Linked DNA regions of Saccharomyces cerevisiae S288C. Changing the gene in region 1 together with any one later gene gives a genetic interaction. Each region holds a gene or a part of one and is shown in the gene's direction. Other genes may lie near its edges.

Evidence for each region. A genetic interaction does not mean that the proteins touch.
Region 2: mutations in MRT4 (region 1) and TRI1 together harm fitness more than expected from each alone (negative genetic interaction), as found in Saccharomyces cerevisiae (2 studies listed by BioGRID).

The regions. Positions count from the first base shown.
Region 1 is NC_001143.9:422,896-427,452, forward strand, and holds MRT4 (ribosome assembly factor MRT4), read left to right. Parts: upstream 1-3,346; coding exon 3,347-4,057; downstream 4,058-4,557. Other genes in the region: putative ubiquitin-protein ligase UFD4, read right to left, coding at 1-2,980; sphingosine N-acyltransferase LAC1, read right to left, coding at 4,400-4,557. UniProt on the Saccharomyces cerevisiae protein: Component of the ribosome assembly machinery. Nuclear paralog of the ribosomal protein P0, it binds pre-60S subunits at an early stage of assembly in the nucleolus, and is replaced by P0 in cytoplasmic pre-60S subunits and mature 80S ribosomes.
Region 2 is NC_001145.3:737,524-741,105, forward strand, and holds TRI1 (Tri1p), read left to right. Parts: upstream 1-1,661; coding exon 1,662-2,342; downstream 2,343-3,582. Other genes in the region: FUS2 (Fus2p), read left to right, coding at 1-1,436; RNH1 (RNA-DNA hybrid ribonuclease), read left to right, coding at 2,743-3,582. UniProt on the Saccharomyces cerevisiae protein: May be involved in transcription regulation.

The DNA.
Region 1 (4,557 bases):
AAGATCCAGTATCAACCTGTGCGAATTCTCTTTTTTTATAAAAATCTCTTAACTTTTTCCCCTCATTAGCTTCCTCGGCTGCCTCACTCTCTCTATTGTTACCTTCTAAACTTTTGCAAAATTTGATTGTATGTGTATCATCCCATAAAGTTTTTAAGTCACGATTTCGCCTGACGAATGTATTAAATATCACACCAAATACTGTAGACTCCATGTCAACTTTTTCATTATCATAAAAAAAGTCAAAGTTCTTTTTTCTCATATGATCCAAGCAATTTTCTTCTTCTTCCCTATCAGCTTCGGTACTGGAAGATGTAAGGTTTGGGATTAATGAATTCAAAAAACGCATTCTTACCATTCTGTGTCTCAAAAACTCATTAAGTGAGGTAAAAGAAGCTATGCAATGGACCGAAACGATAGTAGATGATAAATCAGTACCAATATTATCTTTGCTTGCATCGCCATCATAAACCAACTTAATTTTTATCTCTTTAGCCAGTGAAGATACACCACCACCATCGTGTAAACCGCAATCAACTATAGAGAAATTCTCCAGCCTTGTGAGAGCAGATTGTAGGATTTCTAAAAATCTGTCAATACAATCCTCAAATACCTCTAAAAATGATTTAGCAAGAATGAAATGGGATACCGTTGAGGATGTAATTCTTTTAGTTATGGAGGAAGCTAGCCCTGTAGAAGTAAATTCGAAACCTGACACGTCGAAATCTTCATGGAAAATACATTTTTTTAAAACAGACCAAATTCCCTTCCAATCCTCTTCAGTTTTGTCCGGAGTGGAAGGATTTTCTAAAATAGAAACAACGCCTTCGATTTGATGGAGCTCCTCTGTTATTGCTTCTTGCTCAACGTTCATCTGAGAAAGTACTCTATTAACTAGGTTCACACCCTTGTTTTTAATATAAGCTAGAGATAGAGTTCTGAAAATGTGTATTGAAATTTTCTTTGGTTTTACTGAATCAGGAATTTCCATATCAGTAAATTCGTAATCATATTCTTCATCACCCTCATCACATTCCTCAATACTGCTATGCAAATCCCCTTCTTCGTCAGAAAGTGAAATATTTTCATTCCCGTCTTCCTTTAAATCAATGTTATTGAAATCCACAGACAAATCCTTAACCAAATCAAAAATGCCCTCTCTTTTGATGGAAGGAAAGAACAGTTCGGAAAACTTTTTACAAATTAAGTCAAGCAACGAGAGACCACCAACCAACAGTGTACCAGCTTCTGATGAGTAAGTACCATTAGCGTTAGACGCTGTTTCTTTTTGGGCCAGGATAGATCCGATTAACTTAATAAGTTGATCATTGATTGCCTTTGCTGTGGAATTATTTATGCATGATACAACCCTCAGTAAAGCAATAAGTACGTATCTTCTTACGTCAAAGTCAGCAGCATTTGTATAAATTTCAACGAGAATTGGAATTAGACATTGAACTAGGGAATCAAACTTTTCCTGGTTAGAAATTACGCCACGGTCGCTATTTCCGGTATATTTATCCGCTGACAGTATTCTTTCATCCTCGGGAGGAAACAATACAACTATAAATCTAGAAATGCTAATCAATAAACTGTTTGGGACATAAATCAGTGTTTCATGTAACCCTGCGTTAGGACTTTTACTATAATGCTGGAATGATCGTGTTGCCATGTCGACAATGTCAGTTTTCTCTCTCAGTTCTCTTGAAAGTACATCACTACTCATCGCTAATACGGTTAAAATATCCAAACATTTCAGTTTATTCTCCAAGGGGGTATCCTGAATAGAAACTAGCTGAACTATTCTTTCGATTAAATCCAACGAAAACAAAGTCTCAAATTTGTCAACCCCATGCAACGCCCCGCAAATACCGTACATGGCATTTACAAGCCTGGTTAATATTGGTTGGTCTGTCGCATTCGAGAAAATTGGCTTCAGCGTTGGAAGTACTTCAACAATGGTCTTAAAGTCATCCGTTCGGATACTGCTACAGGCGTTCGAAACAATTGCGATAGCCTTCCTCTGCGCATGTATAGTTAAAAAATCGAAGAATTGGACGTAGATTGATAATTGGCCCGTTTTTAAAATGTCTCTCCCATGTACTCTAGAAATATATTCCACCGTTTCTAAAACTTGTTCTGCGAGGTCAATGTAACTGATCTCTACCAATTTTCCTTGTAAAATTGGTATAACGTGTTCATCAACAGCTATTGAAATAGATTCAGGGCAGACCTCAAAAAGATTATACATGCATCTACAAGCTTGCATTTGTAATTCTAATTCTTCCCGTAAAATTTTATCAGAGAGTATGGCAGCTATATTACCTATTAAGGTTTCCATCGGTATAATTCTATCGACAACCATTTGATTCATCATTAATATGTTTTCAGAAAGTTCTTTTAAACTCTCCATTGCAATATAAGGATCCTCGGAGGCATTCCCAGTATTCTCTATCAATTTAGAAATCCGCTCATTCCTTGCCGAACTCTCTGCGCTCCTCTCCATCCTTCCTCCAATCATCGATAAAATCTCGGGTAGTGTTCTTCCAACCGGGTGTTGCCCAAGTCCTTCACTTGTTTGTCTTCTTTGTTCTAGTCTTTGTGCGAATGTTTCCAAAATGTCAGGTAAATGTAGGGGGTTGCTGCCAAATTCATTATTATCGTGAGAACGTTCAAGTCCATCTTCTTCTTCATTTCTGTCTTCGTCACTGCCATTCTGAGTTCTATGATATCCATATAAAAGTCCAGAATCATCTTCATGATGGTAATCGTTATCGTCATCTTCACCATCATCTGCCTCAAAACTTCCGACGCTAGAAAGCATATGTTCATCTTCATCTTCATCAGGATAATAAGAGTACTCACCCTGTACATGGCCATCCTCATCATAGTCATCTTCTACCTGCGTATCCATCATATAATCACTGTTTTCGCTATGGGACTCATGTTCATCAAGGTTGTGCGAATTATTTTCAGACATGCTTGGCTACTCTTCTATTTTAAATGTTTATCCAAAATTTTCACACCTGAGATATATTGTTGTTAATAAAGCACACAGAAAGGAAAGTATCGATCCCAGAAAGTGGTCTTTCCCTGGGTATGATCAAAGCTATTCCCCTTTCCAACTACTGTTGGCTATGATCCCACAATTTGATTTCAGTTCAGAAAACCCAACCATTAGGACTTTACCCGGCGAAGGTGAAAGAAAAAATTTTTTTCCAGAAAAATGCGATGAGCTTTTGAAAAGTTGCAAATATTTGTAGTACTTTGGCTAAGCAGAGCTGATTCCTTTTGCTATACGTACATCACTGTCTATCGTCCATAAAAGATTTATTATAGTTGAATCATGCCAAGATCAAAACGTTCCAAGCTAGTCACTTTAGCACAAACCGATAAAAAGGGCAGAGAAAATAAAGAAAGAATTTTCGATGAAGTGAGGGAAGCCTTAGATACTTATAGATACGTCTGGGTCCTACATCTTGACGACGTAAGAACTCCAGTTTTACAAGAAATCAGAACATCTTGGGCAGGCTCTAAGTTAATTATGGGTAAGAGGAAAGTTTTACAAAAAGCATTGGGAGAAAAGAGGGAAGAAGAATACAAAGAAAATCTGTATCAATTGAGTAAGCTTTGTAGCGGTGTCACTGGTTTATTGTTCACTGATGAGGATGTCAACACTGTCAAGGAATACTTTAAGTCATACGTTCGTTCAGACTATTCAAGACCGAACACGAAAGCACCACTAACATTTACAATTCCTGAGGGCATTGTCTACTCACGTGGTGGTCAAATTCCAGCTGAGGAAGATGTTCCAATGATTCATTCTTTAGAGCCAACTATGAGAAACAAATTTGAAATTCCAACTAAAATCAAAGCTGGTAAGATCACCATTGACAGTCCATATTTAGTTTGCACTGAAGGAGAAAAATTAGATGTTCGTCAAGCTTTAATACTGAAACAATTCGGTATCGCTGCTTCTGAATTCAAAGTCAAGGTGTCGGCCTACTATGACAACGATAGCTCCACTGTTGAAAGCACTAACATCAACATGGAATAAGCTGAACTATTATTTGGAAGCCTTTTTTAATAGACCATTGTATAAAAATTTCTTTTTTTTGTATAGATATACTAAAGCAACGCTCATAAATGTAACATAGCTTCTTTTCAACTGAGAATTTATATTCATGCTAACTAAGCGTAAATCACTTTTGATCTTCACAGCTCTTTAGCGGCACGAAAGCAAGAAAAAAAGATAACACTGTATGTCTGGAAAAGAATACTATAAAAATACCTGTTTACATAAACCAATAAGGAAGAACGTGAGAGCAGGACCGTAAAAGAATTAATGTGTAAAGAATTAATGTGTAATGGTTATACTACTTAAAAACACCGTTTTCCTTCAAATATCCTTTTTCGTTGGAGTACTGTCAGTTGGAGTAGTGGAACTTTCATCACTTTCTTCGTCTGATTCACTATCACTTCTGTCATCCTTGAGAATACCTCTCCATAGAATCCTGTAAAGAACTCTAAAAATAAGGAACAGCCAATAAAGATTCA
Region 2 (3,582 bases), on another chromosome or scaffold:
AAAAGATATTCACCAAAAATGAGGTACAACAGCAGCTATATTCAACTTTTGATATTTCAGAGGCGTTCGAGCAACATTTGTTAAGAATCAAATCCACCTACACAAGCTATTTTGTTAGCCACCAAAAACAAATGGAACTATTTACTACATTAAGGATGAATAAGAATCATTTTTTTAACAAGTGGTATGAATATTGTTTAAAAGAGAGTGGATGTATAAAGTTAGAGGACATATTGAAAAGCCCGATGAAAAGACTGACTCAGTGGATTGATACTTTGGAAACTTTGGAAAGCTGTTACGAAGATATTCTTTCGCCAGAATTGGGCTTGAAACTAAGCCCGACAAGAAGAAAATATTCTTTATTTTCCAATAAGTTAGAAACCGAGGTCTCCGAGTATAAGAGTAATTCCATGTATAATTTCAGTTTAACCCCATCAGAGATTATACAAAGTTATGATGAAGATCAGTTTACACACCTTTTAAAACCCCCAGACAAACAAAATAAAAATATATGTAATGCATCTCGACAAGAGAGTAATTTGGATAATAGTAGAGTTCCTTCTCTTCTTTCTGGATCATCGAGTTACTACTCAGATGTATCAGGGCTAGAAATTGTCACTAATACTTCAACTGCCTCAGCTGAGATGATAAATCTAAAAATGGATGAAGAAACAGAATTTTTTACATTGGCAGATCACATCAGTAAATTCAAGAAAGTAATGAAAGGTTTGTTAGAATTAAAAAAGAATTTATTGAAAAACGATCTGTCAGGCATTATTGATATCAGTTTAAGAAGAATAAATGCATGGAAAAAGGTGATCGAGTGCGAACGCCCTTCTGGTGCATTTTTTGCGCACGATAACTTAATATCGACCATGTGTTCTTCGTACATAGATAAACTGCATGAACAAAAAAATCAAGTAACAATTTTGAAACTCACAGAGCTCGAAACAGATGTGATGAACCCACTTGAAAGAATCATAGCCCATTGTACTACCGTTAAAAGCAAACTAAAAGATTTGCAAGCTTTGAAGAAAGATTACATGTTATTTTTACAAGAAAAAAAAGCAAATGTGCGAGATATTAAACGTGACTTGTTGGGAATGCATTTCCAAAACCTGCAAAACCAGATGAAAAGGGAATTACCGGTCTTTATTACTTTGATCCACGATACTATCGAATGTATCTTGTTGAACTATATCAAAGTCTTCTTAAAATATTTGGAAATCATTGCTGGTGGAAAAAAATACCTGCAAAAAGATCTTGAAAATATGTCTCTTAATGACTCTATAGCTACCGGCCAAATTAAAAATCTTGATATTTTGCAGTGTTATTCTAAATCACGATATATGACAAAACGCATGGTAAGAAAAGATTGGCCTTTCCCTGGAGACCCTAGTGGAAGCCGTGTTGTCAGAAAACTTTTCGAACTTTAACAAAAGAGTATATTTAGCTTATAGTTTTTAGAATGTTTTGTTTTCTTTTTTATTAAAGTAGTACTACTGCGCTGGAGCAGTATATATGTTGAACTATAGTCAGTCACCTATAATTTGTTTGCTGGCGCGAAGGAGAAAGAAAATTTTAATTAATTCATGAAAAGCCTTAAGAAAAAGTTTAAGAGGAAATGAGCAAATAGAAGGCAAATAGAGGGTGAAAGCATTATGGCCGACATCAATAAATATATTCCGATGGTTGACGCTATTTTGAGCGTATCCAACCCCGATGAAATAAGCCCAAAAAGGGTGAGGAAAGCCCTGCAAATTCTCTATTCAGTTAATTTGGATTCACAAAGAAAGTTAATTAATGAATTGATTCTTGAGAGGTTCGGCGATATACAAGAAAACCCAAGAGTCTTAATTCCGAAGAACGACCTCATTAGTCGGGATCAAGAACTATCTTTGAGGTTACAGAAGGAAGAAGAAAGACCCTTGAGGTCTACGAGGAAAAGGAAAGGTAAAAGTGAAAGTAAATCTAAAAGGAAGAAGAAAAAGAATGATAGTCCTGATTCCAACAGCATTTCCGTCCGCAAAGTTCTGTTGTCAGCTCCTTTACAAAAGTTTCTAGGATCTGAAGAACTGCCACGAACGCAAGTAGTGAAGATGATATGGCAGTATATCAAAGAGCATGATCTTCAAAACCCAAAAGATCGTAGAGAAATTCTATGCGATGAGAAGATGGAACCAATTTTTGGCAAAAAAATGACGATGTTTTCAATGAATAAACTCTTAACTAAGCACTTGTTTAATCCCGATGAAATTGTGAAACATGAAGAGGAACAAAAGCAAACACCCGAAAAAGAAATCAAATTGGAAAACGAATCTCTTCCCAATTTAAGCGGTTGATCTTGGCTGTAGCACTTATACAAATTTAATGATTTTTTTTCCTCTTTGATGACATGTATAAAGCACACTGCACCTACTGTATTGTACTTGAAACAGGTAAATTAACAATTAATGTAGCATTAGTAATAAATAATTTCACTTCACGGCGTTAAAGAAATACTATGGCAAATTCGATTTGAGAATTTCGTCAAATTCTGATGATATCAATTAATGGCATATTTTTTTTATTTTTTATCTGGAGAAAAAAATGTAAAAATGACAGCAGCATCAACAATGAATAAAAGCAAGTACAATAGTCGTAAAGATCTATATTAATTTCATGGCAGCACAATAATACACGTTGTTTAAATTAGTTAAAGTGTCACTCCTTGCTTATCGAAGGAACTATCGATTCCTAATTATGGCAAGGCAAGGGAACTTCTACGCGGTTAGAAAGGGCAGGGAAACTGGGATCTATAATACATGGAATGAATGTAAAAACCAAGTTGATGGTTATGGTGGTGCAATTTATAAAAAATTTAACAGCTACGAGCAAGCGAAATCTTTCCTAGGTCAACCAAATACTACATCAAACTATGGAAGTTCAACGCATGCTGGAGGGCAAGTTAGTAAACCTCATACCACTCAAAAGCGAGTTCATCGAAGGAATCGGCCACTTCATTATTCCTCCTTGACATCGTCATCAGCATGTTCATCTTTAAGCTCTGCTAATACAAATACCTTTTATTCAGTAAAGAGTAATGTTCCAAATATCGAGAGTAAAATCTTTAACAATTGGAAAGACTGTCAAGCCTATGTCAAGCATAAAAGGGGTATAACCTTCAAGAAGTTTGAAGACCAATTAGCTGCGGAAAACTTCATTAGTGGTATGAGTGCGCATGATTACAAGCTCATGAATATATCCAAAGAAAGTTTTGAATCTAAGTATAAGCTTTCTAGCAATACCATGTACAACAAGTCTATGAACGTTTACTGTGATGGTTCAAGTTTTGGAAACGGCACGTCATCTTCAAGGGCAGGTTATGGTGCATATTTTGAAGGAGCGCCAGAGGAAAATATTTCAGAACCCTTATTATCGGGAGCTCAAACTAATAATAGAGCTGAAATCGAAGCAGTATCAGAAGCTTTGAAGAAAATCTGGGAAAAGTTAACTAATGAAAAGGAAAAAGTAAATTATCAAATCAAAACTGATTCAGAGTACGTAACCAAATTATTAAATGACAGGTATATGACGTATGAT